Linked DNA regions of Callithrix jacchus. The protein of the gene in region 1 interacts with the protein of each later gene in a biochemical or structural test. Links are inferred from orthologs where the notes say so. Each region holds a gene or a part of one and is shown in the gene's direction. Other genes may lie near its edges.

Region 1 (2,831 bases):
TGTTAGGCGAGGGACTTTGGCTGGGACTTTGTCTTGCAGGTAGGGAGCCTTTTTGACAGGGTTTTTGACAATGCCCAGGGAGGTTCCATTAGCTCAGGGGAGAAGGAATAGGAAGATAAGGACATGAGGAGTTTAGTGTGGGATGTGTTGAATTTGAGGCTCTGTGGAACATCCCGTGATTGCCAAGTGGTAGGCAGCTGGATTTATGAGCCAAGACTCAGGTAAGTTCTAGACTAGGGTTAGAGATCTGAGAGGTATTGGTAATTGATAGTTAGAGGATTGACTATGAATAGAACTGTACAGGCCAGGCACAGTGACTCACACCTATAATCCCAGCATTTTGGGAGGCCCAGACAGAAGGATCACTTGAGCCCAGGAGTTCAAGACTAGCCTGGGCAACAAAGCGAGACCCTGTCTTTACAAAAAAATGTTTCAAAAATTAGCTAGGTGTGGTGACACACACCTCTAGTCCCAGCTACTCGGGAGGTTGAGGTGGGAGGATCACTTGAGCCGGAGGCTGTGGGTGCAGTGAGCCATGATCATGCTACTGTACTCCAGCCTGGGCAACAGAGACCCTGTCTCAAAAAAACACAAAACAACCTTACGGAGTGTGAGAAGGATAAGAATGAAATGTGGAGTGGTTCATCCCCTTCAAGTTAGAGATGAGCAAGCAGGGCCCAGAGGAAAGCTGTTTGCTTATGGCCTCAGCAGTAAGTGTCATTCATTCATTCATTCATTCATTCAACAGGTGTTCATTAAATACTTGCCATGTACTAGGAGCTAGTTTAACTGCTGGGATACAGCAGTGAGCAAAACACTCATGGAGTTTACATGCCAGTGGGCAGATTCCATAAACAAATTGAATATTATGTTAAGTGGTGGCAAATGCTACAGATCAATGTAAAGCAGTATATTCATAGATTATAAAGATTAGGAAAATAGGGCTGGGTTCCGTGGCTTATGCCTGTAATCCCAACACTTGGGAGGCCAAGATGGTGGATCACTTCAGGTCAGGAGTTTGGAACCAGACTGGCCAACATGGTGAAACCCCATCTCTTTTTTTTTTTTTTTTTTTTTTAATCATCCAGCCCAAAATGTCAGAAACCCTGTCTCTACTAAAAATACAAAAAATTATCCAGGCATCGTGGGGGGTGCCTGTAATCCCAGCTACTCTGGAGGCTGAGGCAGAGACTTATTTGATCCTGGGAGGCAGAGGCTACAGAAAGCTGAGATCTTGCCCCTGCACTCTAGCCTTGGTGACAGAGGGAGACTTGTCTCAAAAAAAAAAAAAAAAAAAAAAAGAATGACACACTTTTTAGATTTTGACCTAAGTAACAGGAAGGATGGAGTTGCCACGAGGTAAGATTGTGTGATGAGTAGTTTTGGGAGAATTGGGAGTTCAGCTTTGGACAGGTTGACTTAGAGCTACCTGTGGACACCTACACAGAGTTCAAGTGGGCAGTAGCAGCAGCAGTAAGGCCCTCATTTCAGCCCTTTCCCCTTCTCTCGGATTCCAGGTCTGTGCTCCCATCTCTCCACACCCTATCTGTGTAACTTTCTCATCCCTGGCAGCTGACCTGGGACACTAGCCACCTCCCTGCACTGAGAACTGATCCCAGCCCCCTGCCCCTAGGTTGTGCACAGGGACCTGAAGCCCAGCAACATCCTGTACGTGGACGAGTCCGGGAATCCTGAGTGCCTGCGCATCTGTGACTTTGGTTTTGCCAAACAGCTGCGGGCTGAGAATGGGCTCCTCATGACACCTTGCTACACAGCCAACTTCGTGGCACCCGAGGTGAGTGGCCCAGCCTCCTCAGCTATAAGAGAGGGGGAACCGGAGGCCTTGTGCCTTCTCCCAGAGGCCCCACATTGGCCAGGGCTCCAGTCTCTGTGACCTTGGCCCAGCTGGCAAGGGAAGATCTAGCCTGTGGCTGAGACCCTTGTCCTGCCCTTGAGAGCAGTAGCAGGAGCATCTGTGGCAACTTTCTGCTGCCCCCAGGCTGACCACCTGCCCTGCCCTGTTGCCAGGTGCTGAAGCGCCAGGGCTACGATGAAGGTTGTGACATCTGGAGCCTGGGCATTCTGCTCTACACCATGCTGGCGGGGTGAGTGCCCCTTGGCCTGGACCCTTCCCCACTCCTGCAGCCCTAGCATTTGGGCTGGTGGTGCTTGTCTGATAGGAAAGGCTCAGCCAGCCCTGCCTCAGGATGGTCTGGAAATAGAGACATGGTCCTACCTTGGGAGCACCCCTTCTGTGGGGAGACACAGTCTTCCACCAAGCCCCAGCCCCAGGATGGAGGCCAGAGTCTGTACCCAGACTGTGCGGGCTTTTCTGCAGATACACTCCATTTGCCAACGGGCCCAGTGACACACCAGAGGAAATCCTAACCCGCATCGGCAGTGGGAAGTTTACCCTCAGTGGGGGAAACTGGAACACAGTTTCAGAGACAGCCAAGGTGAGTCTGTAAGGCCTGCATGGCCTCATTTGGAGGAGGGAGGCAGGGTCCCGTCCCAGGGCTTTTCAGCTGTTCGTGAACGGCCTCATTTCTCCAAGTAGATGTTCTACAAATCCCTGTTGCTGTATTTCTCCAAGTGGAAGATTCCCAGGCAGACCACCCCCATGACCCCCGCACCATGTTAGGGTAACTTGGTGATCATTCACTGGCCCTTCTCATTCTGGGCCCTATAGGGCACAGAGGGCTGCATAACCACAGTCCCGGCCTCTGGCCTTGTGGAAACAGTGTAGTGAGGGATACAGGTTGGCACATAAGGAACAGCAGTGCCTGGCGGCCCAGATAGGTGGACCATCTTGGCCAGGGGTGTGGACCATG
Region 2 (3,500 bases), on another chromosome or scaffold:
TCACCTGTATGGGTGAGATGACCTCACTGGCATGTGATAGACGCTTTCCGATTCTACAAACGTGAAGAAAGGGCGTATGACACAGTAACCCCCGGTTCAAGAGGCCAGGGCCGCCTAAGATTCCATCTTTGCATTTAGCTGACCTCAGAAATTCTATTCAACAATTCTACTCTAACCCACTGAGTGAAGGCTGTGTCAAGTTCTGTGTTAGGAGCTGTCGCTGTGATTTTAGATCAGAAGCCAAAGGCTGTTTGAGTTAGCTCTAAAACTGGAAGTTCTATTTTTACATTACTGGGAGAAAAGTCTTTACCATCGGACTTCTGGTTTTTCTGTGCAATGGAGTGTTCTGTGAAAGGGTGGTGTGTGCCCTTACAGTCCTCCGATGCCGAAGGAGCTGAGAAGCCAAAGGACAAGGCGGGCAAATCCAGTTTGTCGGTATATTGGAATATAGTCGGAGAACTTACAAACTTTCTTGGACAGCCGGAAACCACAGTCTCTGCAGTGTTACTCTCCAGACACAGGGCTGCTCTGTCACAGGGAAAAGGTGTATGAAGGCAGCCCTCTGCGATTGGCAAGAATGCTCTACATCATGGCCTGTAATTTGTGTGATAACATCAAGGCTGACATGTTCTCACACTCGGGACGGTAAATGAAGTAGAGTCAGGAGGCATTCACAGGACTGGGGCCCATCAGAAGTCACCATGGCAGATTAGCATCCAGCAGGGAGTCACTTTCGCCTCCCCATGGAGTTTACCTCTACTCTCTTCCAGGTAAAAAGGGGGTATACATGACTGACATTACACCTCAGGGTGTGGCTATGAAGGCTGGAGTTCTGTCTGATGATCACTTGATTGAAGTGAATGGAGAGAACGTAGAGGATGCCAGCCACGAGGAAGTGGTTGAAAAGGTATGCCCCAAAGGGTACTTTCTTACCCTGTCTTCCACTGTTCTCATTGGAGGTGACAGGAAGATGGTGGTAGGGTCAGCATGAGTTTATGATGGAAAAAGTACCCAGTTGATTTCATGTTAAAGGTGAACAGACCACACTACAGGTATAAGCAGTGTTGATATAGAGGTTTGGAATAAAGCCTCCCCTGATTTCACATGAGGTCTATAAAACTACTACCTTTACCTTTTGGATCTGGTTTGTATCTGATTGGGAGCCCCCTCTCAACTGTTGGATTGAGACAGGGTCTCATTCGGTCACCCAGGTGGGAGTGTCATGGGACAGCCTTGGCTCACTGTAGTCTCAGCCTCCGGGGCTCAGGTGATTCTTCCACCTCAGCTTCCTGAGTAGCTGGGACTACAGGTGTGCACCACCACGCCTGGCTAATTTTTATATTTTTTGTAGAGACAGGGTCTTACTATGTTGGCCAGGCTGGTATTGAACAACTAGGCTCAAGTGATCTGCACGCCTTGGCCTTGCAAAGTACTGGGATTACGGGCATGTGCCACCACCCTCTGAATTTATAATAAATTCACTGTTGAGGGCCGGGCCTGGTGGCTCACACCTGTAATCCCAGCACTCTGGGAGGCTGAGGTGGGCAGATCACCTGGGGTCAGGAGTTCGAGGCCAGCCTGACCAACATGGAGAAACCCCATCTCCACTAAGAATACAAATAATTAGCCGGGCGTGGTGGCAAATGTCTGTAATTCCAGCGACTCGGGAGGCTGAGGCAGGAGAATCGCTTGAACCTGGGAGGCAGAGGTTGCGGTGAGCCAAAATTGTGCAGCTGCACTCCCGCCTGGGCAAAAAGAGTGAAACTCTGTCTCAGTCAATAAAATTACTGTTGAGTCGATAATACTGAAATTTTTTTTTTTTTGAGCTGGAGTTTCACTCTTGTTGTCCAGGCTGGAGTGCAGTGGCATGATCTCCACTCACACAACCTCCGCCTCCCAGGTTCAAGCCATTCTCCTGCCTTAGCCCCCCAGGTAGCTGGGATTACAGACATTCGCCACCATGTCTGGCTAATTTTGTATTTTTAGTAGAGACGGGGTTTCTCCATGTTGGTCAGGCTGGTCTCGAACTCCCGACCTCAGGTGATCTGCCCACCTTGACTTCCCACAGTGCTAGGATTGCAGGCGTGCACCACTGCACCCAGCAATACTGAAACATTTCATAGGAAGTAGAGGATAACAGATTCTCCTTTGAGGTCACATGGAACCTTAAACATTGACTAACTTCTCTTTGTAGAATGATTTTTTGAAGTGGAGCTTTACTTTCTTTTTCTCCAAACTCCTATTGTTGCCTTTACCTACACACCTTTATGGGTTTTCTGAATTCCAGCTCCTTCTTGGGCTTAGTACCTATGTGGGTGGGTCATAAGTAAGGGAAAAACAACTATGGCTGTGGAGGTAGATACCTATCAGTCAGCTGGTAGGACGTAGTATTGCAGCTAAACGCAGGCCTTCTATCCCCATCTTGTGTGGAACCTAGAGACCGTGTGCCTTTATATAGAAAGTTTTTTTTTTTTTGAGACGGAGTTTCACTCTTGTTACCCAGGCTGGAGTGCAATGGCACGATCTGGGCTCACCGCAGCCTCCGCCTCCTGGGTTCAGGCAATTCTCCTGCCTCAGCCTCCTGAGTAGCTGGGATTACAGGCACGCGCCACCATGCCCAGCTAATTTTTTGTATTTTTAGTAAAGACGGGGTTTCACCATGTTGACCAGGATGGTCTCGATCTGTTGACCTCGTGACCCACCCTCCTGGGCCTCCCAAAGTGCTGGGATTACAGGCTTGAGCCACCGCGCCCAGCTGGAAACTTTTTTATTCCTTACATTGTTCTTGGGGGTTGATGTGGTTCCTCGTCTGTGTGTTGTTGCAGGTGAAGAAGTCAGGAAGCCGTGTCATGTTCCTGCTGGTGGACAAAGAAACTGACAAGCATCACCGTGAGCAGAAGATACAATTCAAAAGAGAAACAGCCAGTTTGAAACTGTTACCCCGCCAGCCCCGAATTGTGGAGATGAGGAAAGGAAGGGATGGCTACGGTTTCTATCTGAGGGCAGGCCCAGAACAGAAAGGTGAGGCACAGGAGCAGGAAACTTCACAGTGTAACCAACAAGCTCCTCATCCAGTTTGACTCCAGAGTTCTGTTAGGCTCTCAGCTCCCAACCTGATGCATGAGGGGCACAGCAAGAAACAAGGAGGCACAGCTGGGTCAGATTCTAAGTCACATGAGGGTCTGATATTGGGCATCCTAAAGTTTCCATAGCTGAATGATGAGGCAGAATTTGTATCCTGGTAAGATGGCTCTGGGGGTGGGGGAAAGTCCAAATTGGTAGCATTTGCTTTTTGTGATGTAAATATTCCCCTATGTCCAATTTCAACTTACTAACACGATGTCACTGAACACACAGAAGTACTGCTAAGAATCGGCTTTTGTGAGCCGGTGTGAGCCAGCTACAGTTCGCTGCTGGAGCTGAGGCCCAGGTGTGCATGAGAGCCAGGAGTCCTCCTTCCTTGCAGCTCAATAGGAAGAGCACTAGGTTCTTTCAGGGAA
Region 3 (4,292 bases), on another chromosome or scaffold:
AGATGGCCTGGGTTTTAAGCCAGCCTCTGGTACATTCTAAGAATGAAATTGTAACCAAACCATTTAATCTCCTTTGGTCTCAGCTACTCATCTCTAATAAGAGGATATAGTGCCTTCTTTGAAGAGAGCTGGGCTGAGAATTGAGACCACACTGAGGAACAGATAGAGCCAAGAGCTGGAGAGAGCTAGCCGCTGAGGATATGGTTTGAGTTTCTGCTTTCAGCCTTGCCGCAAGGGAGTGTTCTCTGGATCTTCTGATTCTATGAGGAGATCGATTCTGTCTTTGGTTTATTTAAATATAAATTAGTTTGTATTGGATATTTAACCAAATTACTATGGACTTGGTTTACATGATCCTCTTGGTTGCCATTGACCTTCTATACATAGAAGACAACCAATATATATTTATTGAATGTATGAATGAGCTAATTAAAAAAATCTCTCAAAACCCATAAATTTAATCTCCTGTGCATTATGATACCATCCTAGGCAATTCCAGTTCAACGTAAGTGTGTCCACATAGGAGTAAATCCTTCCGTAGAGAAACACATGATGCAGCCCTGAGGGTCTTACAGGATATCCGGCTAAGATAACTGCTGGGAGAGACCAGAGATTGAGCTCCGAAGACCTGAGTTCTTTTCAACAGAACTACCAACACCTCTGTTGACCTCTCCGGGGCACCGTTCTTTATGCACAAGAGGCGAAGAATAGTATCTACCTATGGGGTTGTTGTTAAGCTCAAAGGAGCTTATTTACATGAGACCTAAGAATGAAACAAGTGTAATTCATTGATTTGCCCTCCACATAGTCCCATTTCAATTGGCGATAGATACACACCTGCCAAATCATGAGCCTAAAGGTGTTTAACTTTTTTTTTTCTAATAAAATGCCCAACAGTAGTCGCATTCCAGAAGGCTATGTGTCAACACACGCGATCATATCTGGGTTTGGGGTGTGACCTTTGGCCGAATACTCGGTGTCCTCGTCCGTAAAAGGAAAGGTTCGCTTCAGATCTGCTATCCCAGGGCTCTAGACAGCAGCTGCCAAGGCTGTGCTTAAGAGAGCTCCTAACAGGCCCTCGAGCCACTCCAGCCTCTCAGCACCTGGCAGCCTCGCCCCCGGGGTGTTTTTGGTGGGCGTGACTAGAAGCACCTGCTCCCGGGCTCCTTTTGCATCTTGCTGCAGTCCCCTCCTGTGAAGGGTGCAGCTCTGCAGTCTCCTCGCTCTTCTCTCGGGTGTGCTTTCTGAGATCCGGTTTCAATCCCCGAGTGGGTAGCCCTCGGGTCCCCTTACAGCTCCCCAGAGCTCCGTGTGCATGCGTGCGAGAGGGAGCGAGCCAGGGAGCGACCCAGCTGAGGGGACGAGGCTCCCGGGCTCCACTTACCGGCCCGCAGAGCCTGGGCACGGCGTCGCCCAGAGCGCGGCGGGGCCGGGGAGCGCGGCGGCCCCTTTAAGAGCCGGGCCCAGGCCGGCCCCGGGACCGCGGGAGCCCAGAGCGCGGGCGCCGCGGAGGAGTTGGGAGCCGGCGCAAAAGTTTCCTCCCAACTCCAGCCCCGCGCGCCGCCGCCGCCGCCACCCACTCCAGCCCGGGGCCTGGGGCCGGCCCTGCCACCGCCGCCAGGGCCAGGGCCAGAGACAGGGCAGGGCGAGCAGTTTCGCTTTGGTGGGCGCGGAGCAGCAGCCTGGGCCGGGCAGGAGTGGAGCGGGAGGTGGAGGAGGAGGAGCCGGGCCGCAGAGCCGCAGCGTCCCGGGCCGCCGGGCACCTGGGAGGTGACCCCTCTCCGTGGCCGTCCCTCCCCGATTCCCGCTGCCCGCCGCCTGCCCGGGTGGAAGGGGCGCTGCCGCGAGCCCCCGGGCCTCAGGGTGCCCCGGAGAGCGGCGCCCCGGGTCTCCGGGCCCACCCGCGCCTGGCGTCCTCCGAGAGTGGGGGCTGCGCCCGCGGGGTCAGACACCTGTTCGGCCCTGCCCGGCGTGGTCGCCGGGGGCCAGGATGAAAGTGACCGTGTGCTTCGGTAGAACGGGCATCGTGGTGCCCTGCAAGGAGGGCCAGCTGCGCGTCGGCGAGCTCACCCAGCAGGCGCTGCAGCGGTACCTGAAGACCCGGGAGAAGGTGAGCGCAGAGAGGAGGAGGGGGGCGCGGCTGCGGCCAGGGCACCTGCCAGGTGCGACCCGGTGGTGGTGGCGACGCTCAGGGGATGCAGAAAACCCAAGGGATAATGGGGCACTGCCTGTAGATGCATCTGTTGTCTATTGCTAATATCAGAGACCTGGGTGTCTTTGGGCATTTGTGGGCCTTGAACTCCGAGAGTGGTTGGTGGAACCGCAGCATTGGAATCTCTTGGGAGCTCCTTTGAACTGCCCAATCTGGGGACTTAAACACCAAAACCACTGACTCGGGATCTGCTCTTTAACGAGATCCCCAGGTGATTGGAATACCCACTGAAGTTTGAGAAGCACCGGTTTGGAACTTGTTTGAGGGAACGTCTTAAAAGGTGCTGCTTATCTAAGTGTGATTTTTGACCCATTAAGGCCTGCCTCACTTCGGCTCCCTGGAGTTTAGAAAGTTGATTGTACAAGTGACACATACTCGGAAGTTAGAACTGATGGGGCCTTTGGAGTTTCAACCTTGTGAGCTGCCCAGTCTCAGTGACTGGCAGGAACGCAGGTTGGAGAATGTTTGCTTATCCAGCCAGTCTACATTTTGAGTGTTTTCAGTTTAATGCCACAGATTCTATGAGCATTTATCATGTGTGTGGGCTGTTATTCAGGTCCCGAGTGACTATTAAAATGAGAAAGATGTCCCTACCTCTGTCGCTGAGGTCAGGAACAAGTAAAAATTAAGTGAGAATTTTTTTTTAAAGTGTGAAATACATGATGAGAAAATATCTGGTGCTAGAACCTATGCCTAGTATTTGGGTAACATTGGGCCTCTGGGACTTCCTCAATGAAACTTTTAAAAATACATTGGATAACCTTTTAATTTTTTGAATCTTCACATGGAACAATTTGTATGTCTCAAATCCTCCTCAAACAGGGCAAGTCACAAATTCTTGTCTTAGAAGCTAATGGTTCTCTTAAAATTTGGTCTGAGGCCATGTGACTAACATAGTAGATTGGTCAATCTAGTGATGGAAAAATGTAAATCATCTTACATTTTAACTTCTTATAGGTTACCCAAAGCATGAAAGTAATTATTTCTTACAAGTATATAGTTTAGGGGTTTAAGAAAATACTTGCACTGTCTTTGCCTCCAGTAAGGACTATTCTACAGAAAAAAAAAAAAAAATCCAGCTCTGGATAAATACATGCATATGTTGCTTTGGATACTTAAGAACTGGACCAACCCCTAAAGATGAACTCTTTATTGATGGAATTGAGATGGAGGAGGGAAAAAATTAGTGACTTATAAAACCATGTGAAAATCTACTGGAATGTTGTGTGTGTGTTTGCCATTGTTAAAATAGCGCGTGCTGTTTATATCATGTAATTCAGTTAACTGAAATTTAAACAAGTAATCAATTGTCTATTAAATCATATTTTACTAACTCTTGAAAGTGGGTTAAAGTTAATAGTAACAGCATTACTCCAGACAAATTACTGAGATCTTATTGAAGGACTGTCTTACTGAGTTGAAGTTACTTTTTAACTATTAAAAAATAATTTATGCCCTCAAATCTTGTATACTTAGAAGTTTAGTACAGGGCGCTGTCCAAGTAAGAGATAAGCTACAAGCTTGTAAATAGTATGAAGAGAACTAACCAGATGGTATTTAATGCACTATAATTTGATCATAAAAGGTGGTAAAAAATTATTGATATTCTGGAATGGAAATGTAACTTATAATGTCACAGAACCCATGCTGTAATTGCATTGATCAGTTTACTGTTACTACCAGACTTGTATTTTTCCGTTTACATTTATATATTAGTGAATGTGACATTTAAAGGTTACCTACAGCATATAAATTTTTTTTGCTTTTAAAATTTCCTTTTTAGAAATAGTGATGATTTTTTCTCCTTCCCAAATATTCTTCTCCCATAGTTTCATTTTAAATATTGTAATCATAATATTTAATATTAAATGGTATTCCTAATGGCATTGAAAGGTCAATAAATAACAAATTCCATGCTTTTATTTTTTTAAATGAGAAATGGCCAGAAATGTCAAAATTCAATTTGAAAAACAATGTGTAATAAATTCACTTTCCATAAATCAGTGAAAGACAGTTAAAAGGCTTGTCTTCCTAGACAGCAAGGTTTTAAGCCCTGCTCTTCATACTAATAATCACATTA
Region 4 (3,500 bases), on another chromosome or scaffold:
GTGGCACATGCCTCTAGTCCCAGCTACTCAGAAGGCTCAGGCACAAGAATCGCTTGAACCAGGAGACAAATCGCTTGAACCAGGAGACAGAGGTTGCAGTGAGTCAAGATCACACCACTGCACTCCAGCCTGGCTGACAGAGTGAGACTGTCTAAAAAAAAAAAAAAAAAAATCCCATTTGCTCATTTTTTGGATACTAGTATAACTATCATTCTAAACCAGTTAGTACCTTAAGTCAAGCAGATATGGGAGATGGTGAATTACCATCTATAATGTTGTCATGTATGTCATATACTGAGCATTATAAGCTAGTAGAATCTAGTTAATTGTTTTGTGTGTGATGTATGCAGAGTTCCCATTTTGAATGTGTTTTTACTATGCTTAAATAAATGAGTGATGTCTGCAACCCCATAATGGCACATCTGATGTAAGAGCCCCTGTTCCCCAATAATAGCATCTAAACTATAGACATTGGAATGGACAGGTGCCCCTAGGTTCCTTCCTCTAGGGTTTTTTGGTGGTCTCTGAGGACTGTGTATCCCTATTCCCATCTTTCCCCATCTTTAGGCGCAGTAACAGCATCTCCAAGTCCCCTGGCCCCAGCTCCCCAAAGGAGCCCCTGCTATTCAGCCGTGACATCAGCCGCTCAGAATCCCTTCGTTGTTCCAGCAGCTATTCACAGCAGATCTTCCGGCCCTGTGACCTAATCCACGGGGAGGTCCTGGGGAAGGGCTTCTTTGGGCAAGCTATAAAGGTGAGCACAGGCAGTAATTGCTTTGTTTTTATGCCCTCAGCCCCCCTCTTTCACTGTCTTTCGGGGATTTCTTATCACTTGGCCCCACCCCATACCCTGCAGGACATCAGGCCCCCTTCCTGGCTTTGGGTGATAGTATGAAAGGTATCCTTTGCATCCACCCAGGCCACCTAAGGTCAGTGTTGCTGTTACAATGAGCTTGTGGACCTGGAGATCCAGCTTGGGTTGAGCTGTGCTTGTGGTCCTCCTGCCACCAGTCAGTGGGTGTTTGTTAGGTGCCCCCAGGCCTTAGTACCGGGCATGCTACAAGGAACACACAGGGGCTTCTGCCTCCCTGGGAAACAGTCTTGGGGACTAATCTCTCTCTTTCTCTCCTCCTCCTCCTCTGCTGAGAACTGGGAGGGGGGGTCAGGTAAGCCATGTGTCTCAGCTTGTGGGGGCAGCGGGGCTGGAAAGTTTACCCCTGACCCACCCAACTCCCTGGTGCATGTCTTTGGCACTGACTTTTCTGCCCCCAGACTTCTCTGTTCACTCAAGAGACTCACTCCGGTGCCAAATGACCAGAGCCCCTGCTTGGCTTGGCAGTGTCCCCTCCTGCCTCCTTCCCCATTTCGCTTTTCTGGGTTTTTGCCTATCCTCCATGCATGCCCAGCTCTCAAGGAAAGAGGATATGCTTCTGTCTGAATCCCCTGTTGCTTCACGCTGCATCTTCCACACATTAACTCTGTCAGTCTGACTTGGCTCAGTATACCTTTCAAAGGGTGGGATGGCCAGTTGCATAGATTTTCTCCAACAGTTTTCCAGAACTGCCTCTGGTCTCAGCACCATTAATAGTTACCCTCCCTATAGGTGACACACAAAGCCACAGGCAAAGTGATGGTCATGAAGGAGTTAATTCGATGTGATGAGGAGACCCAGAAGACTTTTCTGACTGAGGTAAGAAGATGGAGGGGGACTAGGAGTTTGGTGTCACCATTGGAAGAGGGAAGACCTTACAAATAATGGCTTCAAGAGGAAATATAGTTTGGATCACTGACTTAAAGACTAAGCAAAAAAGAGCACTAAAGGAATATCCCCACTCCCTCTAAATTACAGCATAATTATTTGTTCAACGAACACTTACTAAAGGCAGCACAAACTGGGTACAAGGGATGCAATAACAAAAGATACATGTTTCAGAGGAGCTCTCAGATTATGAGGGTGATGGACATGAAAACAGACCAATTTAGTACAGCTCTGTTACAATCCTTACCTGAACACCCTGCTAAGGGAACCTGGAGGGGAGTTCCCTGAGCACTCAATTCCTTAAGCGTTTACAGTTTTCACCACCTCTCCCAAGTTACTTCATGGAGCAACTTCAGTTGGCGACACCTGTGGTCCAAGTACTGCCCTCCGAGGCACTTGGCCACTCCCACCACTGTTCCCCCAGTGAAGTTCCTAGAAAGGGAGGATGCCAAGGGTGAGGCCTGCGAAGCCATCTCCGTCCATATGATGGGGTTCTTCCCTCATCTTGATCTTAGTCCTGTGCCATATCACAAGGTAGGCAGTAGGAGATGCAGGTGGTAACACTTGTCAAGCTCATTCCCTGGAGGGAAGGCATAAGGAAGACATAGTAAGATGTTAACCACCAGCTTTCCTTGGCTTCCCCCACCACCAGGTGAAAGTGATGCGCAGCCTGGACCACCCCAATGTGCTCAAGTTCATTGGTGTGCTGTACAAGGATAAGAAGCTAAACCTGCTGACAGAGTACATTGAGGGGGGCACACTGAAGGATTTCCTGCGAGGAATGGTGAGCACAACACCCCATAGTCTCCAGGAGCCTTGGTGGGTTGTCGGACACTTCTACTACCATTACCCTGGGAGTTTAAAGGCCAGAGGAGCCCTGCTTTGCCCCCAAAGACCATGCTGGGCGGGTCTAGGCACAGACAGGGAGGCTTCACTGGGAGACCATATTGACTCGTGGGTCTGGACCACGAGTGGGACAGGGCTTAACAACCTCCAACAGTCATTCCCCTATCCTGCAGGATCCGTTCCCCTGGCAGCAGAAGGTCAGATTTGCCAAAGGAATCGCCTCGGGAATGGTGAGTCCCACCAACAAACCTGCCAGCAGGGCAAGAGTAGGGAGAGGTGCAAGAATTGTGGGCTTCACTAGAAGGTAGAGACCCCTTCCTGTGCATCTTGTGTGGGGTGGGTCAGCAGCTATTCGTTGTGTTTGTCTGTGCCACTGAAACTACCTCTAGCCAACTGTTCTTAGCTCACAGCCCTATTCTCAAAGAATTACACATCTCTAAGGGCAAACAGCGTGGACAAGGCAAACTAGAGAGGCAAATTGTAGCCTGAGATGGCCTGGCCTTGCTGTTCAAGGTGTCCAGATGCTAAGGGCCCTTGAACCAAGTAGAGCACCTCACTGCATAGGAAATCAGTGAAGGAGAAATGAGTTCTAGCAGAGCCCTGAAGGGTCAGAATTGGATAAAAAGTTCCTATTGGCAGAGAGGTTCCAAGATTGAAGCGACAGGAGCAAAGACCTGGGAGGAAAGAAGAGAAAATCATCTATTTTACCTGGAAACAAATGATTCCAATCATAGCAATAACAACAGCTGACACGTACTGAGTGCTCTCTATATGCTAGGCACTAAGCTGAGGAATTAATATGCAGGTGCATGTTTAGTCCTCATGACAACCTTGGTTTCCAGATAAGAAGCTGGGCTGGAAAGGGACAGAGCTGGGATTGGGTTAATCAGTCTGA
Region 5 (2,860 bases), on another chromosome or scaffold:
AGGTGTCTACAGGTGTGCTGGGAGGATCTGGGAGTGTCCCTCTGGTAATGAGCCTCTTCTCCTCAGGGACATTCAAGCTTCCTTCTTTAGGGCACTTCAGACAGGAAATGGGGTTTGGAGGTCAAGGTGGGTGGATCATCTGAGGTCAGGAGTTCGAGACTAGCCTGGCCAACATGGCAAAACCCCGTCTCTACTAGTAATACAAAAATTGGCTGGGTGTGGTGGCTCACACCTGTAATCTCAGCACTTTGGGAGGCTGAGGCGGGTGGATCACTTGAGATCAGCAGTTCAAGACCAGCTTGGCCAAATGGTGAAACCCCGTCTCTACTAAAAATATAAAAATTAGGTCAGGCGCGGTGACTCACGCCTGTAATCCCAGATACTTAGGAAGCTGAGACAGGAGAATTGCTTGGACCTGAGAGGCGGAGGCTGCAGTGAGCTGAGATCACACCACTGCACTCCAGCCTGGGCGGCAGAGCAACAGTCCATCTCAAAAAACAAAACAAACAAATAGAAATTAGCCAGCCATGATGGAACACACCTGTCATCTCAGCCACTTGGGAGGATGGGGCAGGAGAATTGCTTTAATCCTGGAGGTAGAGGTTGTAGTTAGCCCACATAGCCCCACTTCACTCCAGCCTGGGTGACAGAGCAAGATTCGGTCTCAAAAAACAAAATAAAACCAAACAAAACCCCAAACATTAGCTGAGCATGGTAGCAGGTGCCTATAGTCCCAGCTACTTGGGAGGCTGAGGCACAAGAATTACTTGGGAGGTAGAGGTTGTGGTGAGCCAAGATCACACCCACTACACTCCAGCCTGGGTGACAGTGAGATTGTTCCTCAAAAAAAAAGAAACCAACGTTGGGTTTGGGCCTCTGTTTTGGATGTGCAGGTGCCCTGGTAGGCAGAGACTCTTCTCCCTGGGGTTTTCTTGCCCCAGCTTTGTCCATCTGCTGAGGATGTGAGAGATGGCACTTGGGGTAGGGCTGCCAGATGAAATACAGGACACCCAGCTACATTTGAATTTCAAGTTAACAATGAATACTTTTTTCATAGAACTATGCCCAAATTAGTCATTGCTTATCTGAAATTTAAATTTAGCTGGGCAACTCTGCAAGTCTCCAAGGGTGGTGCTTGGTAGATCTGATGATGCCTTTATCAGGAGTGAGCCTCCTGTCCATGACAGATTTTAAGCTCCCCCCTTTATACTGTAGTGCTGCTGGAAGTGGGGCTGGAAGTGGGTATAGGTCCTCTGAGGGTGGGGGTGGTGACTCTCTGCAGGATGGGTATACAGGTGCCACAACAAACAGTGATCCTACCATACATGGAGGCATTTAGGCCCCACTTTGTGACGCTGCGGTGGGGGTTGGAGGTTGGGGTGTGGTCTCTGAGGTGCCAGCTATGCCTGTACCTACGTGCCCCTCCTGCAGCCTGCACGTGGAACGGGCGTCCCTGCAGCCTGTCTGTGCACATCGACAAGGGCTTCACACTGTGGGCGGCTGAGCCAGGGGCAGCCCGAGCTGTGCTCCTGCGACAACCCTTCGAGAAGCTGCAGATGTCTTCAGATGATGGCGCCAGTCTCCTTTTCCTGGACTTTGGGGGTGCTGAAGGCGAGATCGTGAGTGAAGGGCAGCCTCTGTACCCTGGGGAGGAGGGGGTGTGCACTCTTGGAAGCCAGGCTGGCCAGGGCCCTGACTCTTCTCTCCATCCACCCTGCAGCAGCTGGACCTCCACTCGTGTCCCAAAACCATAGTCTTCATCATCCACTCCTTCCTCTCGGCCAAAGTCACCCGCCTTGGGCTCTTGGCCTAGAAGTCGCCGGATGCACTAGCCCTGAAGAGGGGTGTCTATAACATGGCCTGAGCTGGGCCTCCACCGAATGCCTGCTCGCCCCTGGGCTGACAGAAGGGAGAGGAGAGGAACGAGGTTCCTCAGAGACCCCGCCCCTGAGGGAGGCTGGATTGGTCTTGGGGCCCAGGACCCAGACCCAGGACAGAGTGGACCCTGCCTGTGATGGGGTAGCCTTCCTGCTGCCCCCCTCCACTAGTGCCTTTTGCAGAGAGATATTTTGTGTACACAGAAGCCATTCCAAGCCTGGGACCTGCCCCTGTGTGGATCCTGACCCCAGCCAACAGCTGAGCTGCCAGGCCTCCTTGAGGCCCCTAAGCCACCCCCAGAGGTCCCATCTGAAGCTGGAATACCTGGGGTCAGCGGCAAGAGAAAGAAGAGGAGCCTTTCTGTTTGTTTTTCCCCTTAGCTCCGCCACCTTGGGGAGTCTGGTTTTTCTCTTCATCCTTTCTCTCTCCTCCTTACTCTTGGATAAATAAATAGCCTGTGAGCATACAGGCAGCCTGGCCCAGTGTCTGTGGTCTGTGCCTTGGCCTTTGGGCCCTGGGGTGGCCCCTGCAGTCCCAAGATGGACCAGACCAAGGACCGGGGCACCTTTCCCTGGAGAAGAACAGACCTTCACCACAGGGCCAAAGAGAGTGTATTGGTTATTTATTTTTGTGTGACAAATTACCCCAAATTTAGCAGACAAATGACCCTGAATTTTGCAGCTTAAAATGACAAATATTCATTATGTCCTAGGTTCTGTGGGTCAGGAATTTGGGAGGGGCTAAGCTGGGCTGTTCTTGTCTCAGAGTTGCTCATGAGGTTGCAGTCAAGTTGTCGGCCAGGGCTGCAGTCATCTGAAGGCTTGACTGGGGTCGGAGGATCCATTCCAATACTGCTTATGGTCATGAGGTCTCAGTGCCTCACCATGCAGGCCTAACCCTAGAGCTGCTGCTTGAGTCTTCTCATGATATGGCAGTTGGCTTTCCCCACAGTGAGACAGAAGATAGAGCAAGGAGGAAGCCA
Region 6 (3,993 bases), on another chromosome or scaffold:
AACTGATGCCATTTGGTGTCATAGAGAAGTACAAGCTTTCCAGGAACAAGGCTCAATTGGCAGCAAGGAATGATCAATGATCAATTTATAAAACCCACCGAAGCATCTGGTAGCAGCTTCAGGATAATGGCAGTAAGTGATATGCAGCCAGGTGACAGGTCCCTTTGCATTCCTAAAGTTCAGAAGGTGGTAAAGGAAGTGGAAGGAATAAGGGCTTGGAATGACGCCCTACTGCGTGTTTTCAGGACAGCTTGTCATGCTACATAATAGGAAGAGACAAACAGGGAGAGGAGGCAATTTGGATCCAAAGGGTTCATTCAGGGTAAGTAGAAAGAAACAGCCACTAAGATTTTATTTGTGTTATTTCACTGCTTTCTTTCATTATCTTTCCCTTTAATTTTCCCTTGCAGGTTCCCAAATGATCACATTCCCGGTCCCAGTAGTAACATGCCTGTGGAAGTAGAAGATGGATGCTGAGTCAAACTCAGAATCCCAGCTTCCTCAGTAGGAGGCCTTGCATGGCTTTTCAGCAGCTCCCTGAAAAGGCAAAGTCCTGAGGAGGGCACCTGGCTTTCCCCCCGTCTTTGCTGCTAGGTCAAAGATCCGTGCTTATCTAACTCACCTGATTTCTGAATCATGGTTTGAGAAGCCTGGCTCTGTGGATCTCCTGGTGTTATTTTCCTAATAGTGATTTCCTAAGGTCACAGCTTCCTTGTAATTGATTGATGTGAAAGAACAAACGTGCTTCTATTTCAAACATATTGGAGATAGATTCGACGCCGCACCATGAGCTTTCAACGGAAAACCAGACTGACAAAGATTCTGCTCTCCCGAGGCTTACATTGTGGTGGATTTAAAAAGTTGTTTCTCAACATTTCGCGCTGTACCCATCACCAGCTCTGCCCAGGGCGAGGCGCCTTGATGCTTGAAGTTCATTGTGCAGGCAAAGGAGAACACTGTGTCTCCAAGGACCCTTGTAAACTGGCGGCCAAAATTTGAAAGAACATAAATCGCAGGGCAGCAGCGGAAGAGGCTGGGGTCTCTGGAGGTGACTTCTATTAGCGTACGGGCGAAGTCAGGGGACCTAGCCGGAGCCTGAAAACTTTAAGCCAAACAAACTGAGATCATATCTCCCTCCCGCCACCTCCCTCCGACTAGCCACTACCGCCGCCCAGGGACCGCTGCCCCGGGGTGAACTGGGGAAGGCAGTGGGGATCGGAGAAGACGGACTCTGCTTTCGCTCCCCTTTCTCCCCCATCCCTAACATGGGCTTTGCACTGGAGCGCTTCGCAGAAGCCGTGGACCCGGCTTTCGAGTGCAAGCTGTGCGGCCAGGTGCTGGAAGAGCCGCTGTGCACGCCATGCGGGCACGTCTTCTGCGCCAGCTGCCTGCTGCCCTGGGCGGTGCGGCGGCGCCGGTGCCCGCTGCAGTGCCAGCCCCTGGCGCCCCGCGAGCTGTACCGGGTGCTGCCGCTGCGCAGCTTCATCCAAAAGCTGCGCGTCCAGTGTGACTACCGCTCCCGCGGCTGTGGCCACTCCGTCCGGCTGCAAGAGCTGGAGGCGCACGTCGAACACTGCGACTTCGGACCTGCCAGCCACCTCCGCAGCCTCGGGGTCTGCGCTTCGGGGCCGGACAGTGGGGAGGTGCCGGCGCGGGAGGGCTGCGGGCCGGCACCAGGGGCCGGCTGGGGCGGGGGCGCTCGCGGGGGGCCGCCGGGCGGCCTCTGTGGCCGCGGGCGGGGACCCAGGCCTCGGGTACTCGCCTGGAGGCGGCGCGAGAAGGCGCTGCTGGCGCAGCTGTGGGCGCTGCAGGGCGAGGTGCGGCTCACTGCGCGCAGGTACCAGGAGAAGTTCACGCAATACATGGCTCACATCTGCAACTTCGTCGGGGACCTGGGTGGCGGACACCGCAGGGTAAGCAAAGGGGGGTGGGCGCCCCAGGCATGGTCGATTTGGGTGGGAAGAGGAACAGTTCTTTCCTACACTTCAGGATCCCTTTGGAATGGGGCATCCTTTCTTACTATACAGCAGGAAGCATCCATGCCCTAATCATAAGTTCCTGTCATTATCTTGCGAATGGATTGGCATTGAAGTTAAAGATTGTCCCCTTTCTACTTATATTACGATTGGAAAGAGTTAAACAGATTGGATTCTAACTTTCCCCTGGGAACGTGGAATTGGAAAAACTCATTTTCCATCCAGACTCTCGTTCTTCATCTTTACCTTCCTGCCCACTGTCTCTGCCTAATTTTTGAACCTTTGTCCTGTGCCTGAAGCAAATACAAGAAAGAAAGCAAACACTTCCCCCTGCCCAGGCTTCCTTCCCCTGCCCGCGGGGATCCGCGGCCCCTGGCAGCGGCACCCACAGGAGCCCTGTCACTGCTGGTGACACTTGCCCTGCCACTGCCTGCATCCACTGCCTTCTGATAAGTTGGGGACTGTGAGGCATGGTGGGACCAGGACAGCCTCAGGAATTGAGAGAATGAGAGATGGGGGTTCTTAGACCTGCAGAGTTCTTTTCATCATCCTGACTTTCCCTAAATAAGCCTTCCTTGCCTCAGGATCTCATTATCGGTATGGAGAGAAAGGTGCGGGGGTGGGGTGGGGGGTTGTGTGTGAGACCTGGAAAGTCCAGTTCGAGAGCCTTCATCTGTGGTCAGACCGGCCCTGAGAGCCCCCAGACAGCGGCTGTTTCCCTTCTTTGTCGAAGCTTCTGGCCCCAAACTGCACTCCTGGACCGCCCGCTTTCAGACCGAATAAACAAGCCTCTTTGCAGCACCCCGTGTGAAGAAGCTTGTTTATAAAGCTGTTACTTCTCTCCTGGAGGACTTCTGCACAGTGTTTGACATTGTTGGTCGCTGCCATGGTGAGCAGGGATTTAGCAGAATTTGCGCTCCATTCAAGGAGCTGTTTTCATTCTTCAGCACTCCCGGGGAGGAGCAACCCAGAAAGATTCCCATTTGGGACTGGCTGCTCCACACTGCCTCCAACTCAGGCACTGAGTTTAGAAGCGCAGACTTAAACCTAAAAGAGAAAATTGTAGTGAGAGGGACTAAAGTGTTTCTACCTTGATGAATGGACGGGCACCGTGTACTAAAAGACTAGTTTCAAGGGTTCTTTCTCTAGTGCATAGATGCATATACATATATGCATATATACAGGTAAATTTACAAAATGGGAGGACCCAGGGAAAAGCACAGATAGAAGCTTTGCATTACCAGTCCAGGTTTCAAGGTCGCAGGAAACCAATGATTGAAGGAAAGGAGCAACGGCTAGAATAATATGACAGAAAACCCCATGCAGCAAGTCAAGCTACGATCCTGAGAAGTGAGAAAACTGTCCATGATTTGCAGATTAGCCAAAACCTCTGTGTTCCCCAGAAATGTTTTTCTACTACCAGTAGGGGCTGCTGTGTGCACTGCCTGGGAAAAGCTCCTGGGAAAATATCGTGATGCTGATAGTGATGATAATGCTTATGGAATGTTATCATTCAGAAGTAATTTCTAAGCAAAAGTTAATAACATCTATAACCATGAATAAAACCCACCTAGTCCAGCGCTAATTCATCCTATGTTCAAGTTAGTCTTTATTAATAAACATTGCAGATATAATTCCTATTTGTTTTACGATTATTTGGCCAGCCAAAAAATAAATAAATAAATACTACTTTACCTAGCACAAATTCTCTCTTTCTATTCTTCAGGAATTATGCAAAACCAAGTAGGAATATTATTTAAAATTAGGACTACAGTAGCCTAATAGATCCTGCATTACAACAGCAACATGAATATTATTTACAAATAGTTAAGTCTTTTTAAATTCCGTTAAGACTTTACAAAATAAAAATTTTACGCTATTGATAATTTATATTTTACTTTTCCATAATGGAGGGAAAAATAAAGATAACTCCAAGGTTTAACCAGAAATATGTTTTCAATTACAGTGAAATCAGAATTAGATGCTGCATTAGGATAAAAGTGCTGCCTGTCTCAAA
Region 7 (3,628 bases), on another chromosome or scaffold:
CTCCTTTCTTTCAGGATTTAATAAGAAGGCAGTAACTGACGCACATGAAAATGGAGACCTGGGCAATGCAAGTGAAACTCCGCTAGACGACAGTGCTTCAAAATTAGATGATCTGCACAGTCTGTATCATAATAAATCTTATTAAATTGACTATCTCCAGACAAGATTGTTAATCAGACTATTCTGAATTTGGGGCACTGGGGAAGATGGTGACAAAGACTATACAAAATCAGGGGAGGCTGTTTGTTGCCTAAATGAAAGGCAGGTACCTCAGGGCTTCATGTGAACAATTCTAAATGCATAAAACCCCCTGTGTTTTGTGGTAGGCCATAATTAGCTATTGCATGTAAGCAATTTTGATTTTCTTGAAATTGTAAGCATCAAAGCATGTGTTTCTTGAAGGGTATTACTGGGCTCTTAAGTACCAAATGAAACCCTACTGTTTTATTTGGTTCCTTTTCTCTTTAGTAGAGGACAGTGCTAATTGGAATTTTATAATACCCTTTAAAATACAGAGAGTACATGAATTCATATTATATATTCTAGAAAGTTAACTGTGGTATTTCAGAAAACAGAACTTGACTCAAATGAATTGTAGAAATATAGACCGGACTTAATTTTTTTTAACTGAAAGAAAGGTTTTAGACTTAAAAAAAATTTGTGCATCCTGAAATCTAAATCAATACTTAATGATCATTTATTGTAATGAGTTTGCATTTCAGCTTTATTCAGTGCAGTACGAAATAGTTTTCTTTAAACAATCCTTTATCAATCAATGCTGCACTAGAAATAGTTTCTCAAAAGTTACTAAACATTTGACTTTCTTGGTTTTTAAAAGAAATGCAGATGAGTATAAAACATCTGTTCTCAATTATGTTGATCTGTGTGCACAGTATGGAGCATTTACCCATTCATGTTGAGTCTCAAATGCTTGTTTTCTGGGATCCACAAAAGACAGTTTTATACATTTTGAGTTGTTCATAGTTTGTCTTGTGATAGTTCTGGCATTTAAAGATAAATTTTTCTGGTAGTAAAAGTTCAGATTTTTTACTATGTCATGAAACACAGTACGTTCAAATCAAACAGCAGTTTTCTTTCTAAGTAAATGATTTCGAATCATCTAAAATGTGGGCAAGATGAGATGAAGACATTTTTACACAGTAATTGTTTTAGTTGGGTTTTCATGTGTCAGTTTATGTTTGACTAAAGCTCTCTTCATATGCAGGTTTATAAATTTGTAAGGTCTCTTGTCCCATGATTAAATATGGAGTGTCTCCTCTCTGATCTATTATTCTGCAGTCATTGTAACCGGCTGGGCAAAGTCAAAATGTTACATTAAAGAGGTGATAGTTTTGCTAATCAGTTTTGCTAATATCACTGTTAAGGGAATATTAAGTGGGAGAAAGCCTACAAGGCTTTTAGAATATTATCAGTATCTTCATTTCTGGTATTCAGATGTTATGTGACAAAACACTTTTTTTTGTCTTTCCCAGATGCACTATATATTTGTTCAAGGGTAAATCTATAAAATGTATATACTTTATTTTGTGATTTTGCTATTTATAAATTTAATGTTTTAACTGTTGCTCATTTATGGTTTGTTTTGGGTGGTGTTCATCTGTATATCACCATGTTAATTTGTAATAGAAGTACACTTCATAGTGTATATTGTTACTGATATTAAAATACTTTATAGCATTGCCTCTGAGCAAAAGCTAGTATTTAATTGTACAAATGAATAAGCAAGTCACATGTTATTGTTTGCTTTTGACAGGGTAGGACTCTTAAAAGAAAGAAAGAATAAAAAAGCTTGTCTCCTTATGCCAAACACATACCTCCCATGCATGACATAAGATCTGCAAACTGGATTTTAGCCACTGTATTTATTTAGTAAAAAGAATTTCCCATTGTAGCTGACCTGAAAACTTTTTGCTGTGACATGAAACCATGTTATTCTTATCTTCTTAAAGCACAGCCTGGGTTGGAATGGCCATGGTATTTTTTTCAGAGAATATCCTTTATCTACTATCACTGAATCCTTAGGAAATGTAAGCTAGAACCCTTTGATTTTCAAGAGCTACCTAATAAGTGGTGTTTTTTTTTTTTTCCTAGAACTTCAAGTTGGAATTTTTATGAGGTCACTGTGTAATTTGAAGGATTGTATGAGACAGTTATGACATAAATTCCTTTTAAGGAATGATAAATAGAAGGAAAAATTCCCAAGTAGTTTAAAACTCCACCGGTCAGTTTCCTTTACATTCCTGCTTCAGTGGGGTTTGTAAGCCTACGGTAGAGCACTGTTGCTCAGATGCTACTGTGAACTTCCTATCACGTGTTAGAAAGTAACTAGTTAAAAGTTTATTTTAGAATGTATGGTCTTTGGGGATGAACTAAGAATTAGTTATTAGTTCCAAAGGACTGAGAACCAGTTTTATTATTTTCACATTTAGAGGAAAGAGATTCATATGCCCCTGAAGCTTCTAGAACAAAACCAAACAAGTAAGGAGGGAACTGGTACAAAGCCATTTCATTGAGAAAGGGACAGTAGGAGAAATACGCACATGTGTACACAGAATGGTTGAGAAAATGTCTTGATAGAATGTGAGGGTTGTATGGACGTGTGTATATATTTACACTTAACCTCTAAAATACTCTTCTACAGTTCTCTGTTATGAATATGATGGAAAAGCAACATTTTGATAATGAGACTATTATTAAAATAGATTTAAGAAAGGTGAAAATTTTGTGAGTCTTGATAATTATAACTCAACAGCTACCAAAAATTAGCACAGCTTGTCTGTGGTGCTGTTTTTTTCCCCCCCACAGAAAGTTTTTTTTTACTGTACACAGTGGACTTATTCTATTTTCATGTTTAGAAACAAAAAGGTTTCATGTGATTCATGTGTAAGATGTACAGTATTTGACATCCTGCTTATGTAATCCCTATTCCATCCAGTCTTATACTTATGGTTGGCCTCAAGTCTATTGCATTTATGACAATGTATTATATCTAGTTAATTTGAGTTTAATATTTTTTATTAGCCTGTAAATAAAGATGGCATATTCTACATTAAAATGATATTGATCTCATTTTTTTTAAATAAACATTTTGTTTCCTTCATATTAAATATTTGGCTTATTATTTATTTCTAGTAGCTTCTATTATTTGTACCAATATATCATAAAGTCTGTGCAAAGGATTGGGCTTAATTTTGTGTTATAAATATTGGCAGCTGATGTTATGTATGAGGGAAACATATGTTAGAAAACCAATCCTATTTTTAAGACACCATTTAAAAGGATATTCTTCCATTTTGACCTCTGTATATAATTTAGAAGTACCTATGTTATATGTAAAATACTTTTTGGAAAATACTTGTAAATGAATGACTTGAGTTATGAACATTTAGAAATGTTATGAACATTAGAAATACAGTTTTGTCACTGACTAACCTTGATTTAGTGCTAATACATATATGCTTTCTGTGTGTTGATTTAAGCTCACAATTCACCAAGTGATTTGAAAAGAAGTCTTTCCCCCAGAATTCAACCCCATAGGATATTGGTCAATTTATGAAATTTTAAAGAGAACTTGCATTTTCATTTTTAATTGGTGTTTTGTTTTAGG

Evidence for each region.
Region 2: the proteins of RPS6KA1 (region 1) and PDZK1 interact in a test that uses a peptide from one of them, tested with the Homo sapiens proteins (2 studies listed by BioGRID and IntAct). The link is inferred for Callithrix jacchus from reciprocal best matches to the Homo sapiens genes RPS6KA1 and PDZK1.
Region 3: the proteins of RPS6KA1 (region 1) and PARD3B interact in a test that uses a peptide from one of them, tested with the Homo sapiens proteins (2 studies listed by BioGRID and IntAct, with this or other methods). The link is inferred for Callithrix jacchus from reciprocal best matches to the Homo sapiens genes RPS6KA1 and PARD3B.
Region 4: the proteins of RPS6KA1 (region 1) and LIMK2 interact in a test that uses a peptide from one of them, tested with the Homo sapiens proteins (2 studies listed by BioGRID and IntAct). The link is inferred for Callithrix jacchus from reciprocal best matches to the Homo sapiens genes RPS6KA1 and LIMK2.
Region 5: the proteins of RPS6KA1 (region 1) and SNTA1 interact in a test that uses a peptide from one of them, tested with the Homo sapiens proteins (2 studies listed by BioGRID and IntAct, with this or other methods). The link is inferred for Callithrix jacchus from reciprocal best matches to the Homo sapiens genes RPS6KA1 and SNTA1.
Region 6: the proteins of RPS6KA1 (region 1) and PDZRN4 interact in a test that uses a peptide from one of them, tested with the Homo sapiens proteins (2 studies listed by BioGRID and IntAct, with this or other methods). The link is inferred for Callithrix jacchus from reciprocal best matches to the Homo sapiens genes RPS6KA1 and PDZRN4.
Region 7: the proteins of RPS6KA1 (region 1) and GOPC interact in a test that uses a peptide from one of them, tested with the Homo sapiens proteins (2 studies listed by BioGRID and IntAct, with this or other methods). The link is inferred for Callithrix jacchus from reciprocal best matches to the Homo sapiens genes RPS6KA1 and GOPC.

Annotation. Positions count from the first base shown.
Region 1 is NC_133508.1:63,217,814-63,220,644, forward strand, and holds part of RPS6KA1 (ribosomal protein S6 kinase alpha-1), read left to right. Parts: intron 1-1,633; coding exon 1,634-1,795; intron 1,796-2,028; coding exon 2,029-2,105; intron 2,106-2,338; coding exon 2,339-2,456; intron 2,457-2,831. UniProt on the Homo sapiens protein: Serine/threonine-protein kinase that acts downstream of ERK (MAPK1/ERK2 and MAPK3/ERK1) signaling and mediates mitogenic and stress-induced activation of the transcription factors CREB1, ETV1/ER81 and NR4A1/NUR77, regulates translation through RPS6 and EIF4B phosphorylation, and mediates cellular proliferation, survival, and differentiation by modulating mTOR signaling and repressing pro-apoptotic function of BAD and DAPK1.
Region 2 is NC_133519.1:8,110,114-8,113,613, reverse strand, and holds part of PDZK1 (Na(+)/H(+) exchange regulatory cofactor NHE-RF3), read left to right. Parts: intron 1-770; coding exon 771-907; intron 908-2,825; coding exon 2,826-3,021; intron 3,022-3,500. UniProt on the Homo sapiens protein: A scaffold protein that connects plasma membrane proteins and regulatory components, regulating their surface expression in epithelial cells apical domains.
Region 3 is NC_133507.1:125,871,124-125,875,415, forward strand, and holds the start of PARD3B (partitioning defective 3 homolog B), read left to right. Parts: upstream 1-1,492; 5' UTR 1,493-1,990; coding exon 1,991-2,110; intron 2,111-4,292. UniProt on the Homo sapiens protein: Putative adapter protein involved in asymmetrical cell division and cell polarization processes. May play a role in the formation of epithelial tight junctions.
Region 4 is NC_133502.1:201,772,885-201,776,384, forward strand, and holds part of LIMK2 (LIM domain kinase 2), read left to right. Parts: intron 1-567; coding exon 568-754; intron 755-1,603; coding exon 1,604-1,690; exon of another isoform or gene 1,691-2,332; coding exon of another isoform or gene 2,333-2,339; exon of another isoform or gene 2,340-2,411; coding exon 2,412-2,543; exon of another isoform or gene 2,544-2,778; coding exon 2,779-2,835; exon of another isoform or gene 2,836-3,279; intron 3,280-3,500. UniProt on the Homo sapiens protein: Serine/threonine-protein kinase that plays an essential role in the regulation of actin filament dynamics. Acts downstream of several Rho family GTPase signal transduction pathways.
Region 5 is NC_133506.1:5,910,538-5,913,397, forward strand, and holds the end of SNTA1 (alpha-1-syntrophin), read left to right. Parts: coding exon 1-12; coding exon of another isoform or gene 13-44; intron 45-1,431; coding exon 1,432-1,619; intron 1,620-1,720; coding exon 1,721-1,813; 3' UTR 1,814-2,360; downstream 2,361-2,860. UniProt on the Homo sapiens protein: Adapter protein that binds to and probably organizes the subcellular localization of a variety of membrane proteins. May link various receptors to the actin cytoskeleton and the extracellular matrix via the dystrophin glycoprotein complex.
Region 6 is NC_133510.1:34,504,202-34,508,194, reverse strand, and holds the start of PDZRN4 (PDZ domain-containing RING finger protein 4), read left to right. Parts: upstream 1-1,193; 5' UTR 1,194-1,265; coding exon 1,266-1,913; intron 1,914-3,993.
Region 7 is NC_133505.1:123,866,828-123,870,455, reverse strand, and holds the end of GOPC (Golgi-associated PDZ and coiled-coil motif-containing protein), read left to right. Parts: intron 1-14; coding exon 15-145; 3' UTR 146-3,128; downstream 3,129-3,628.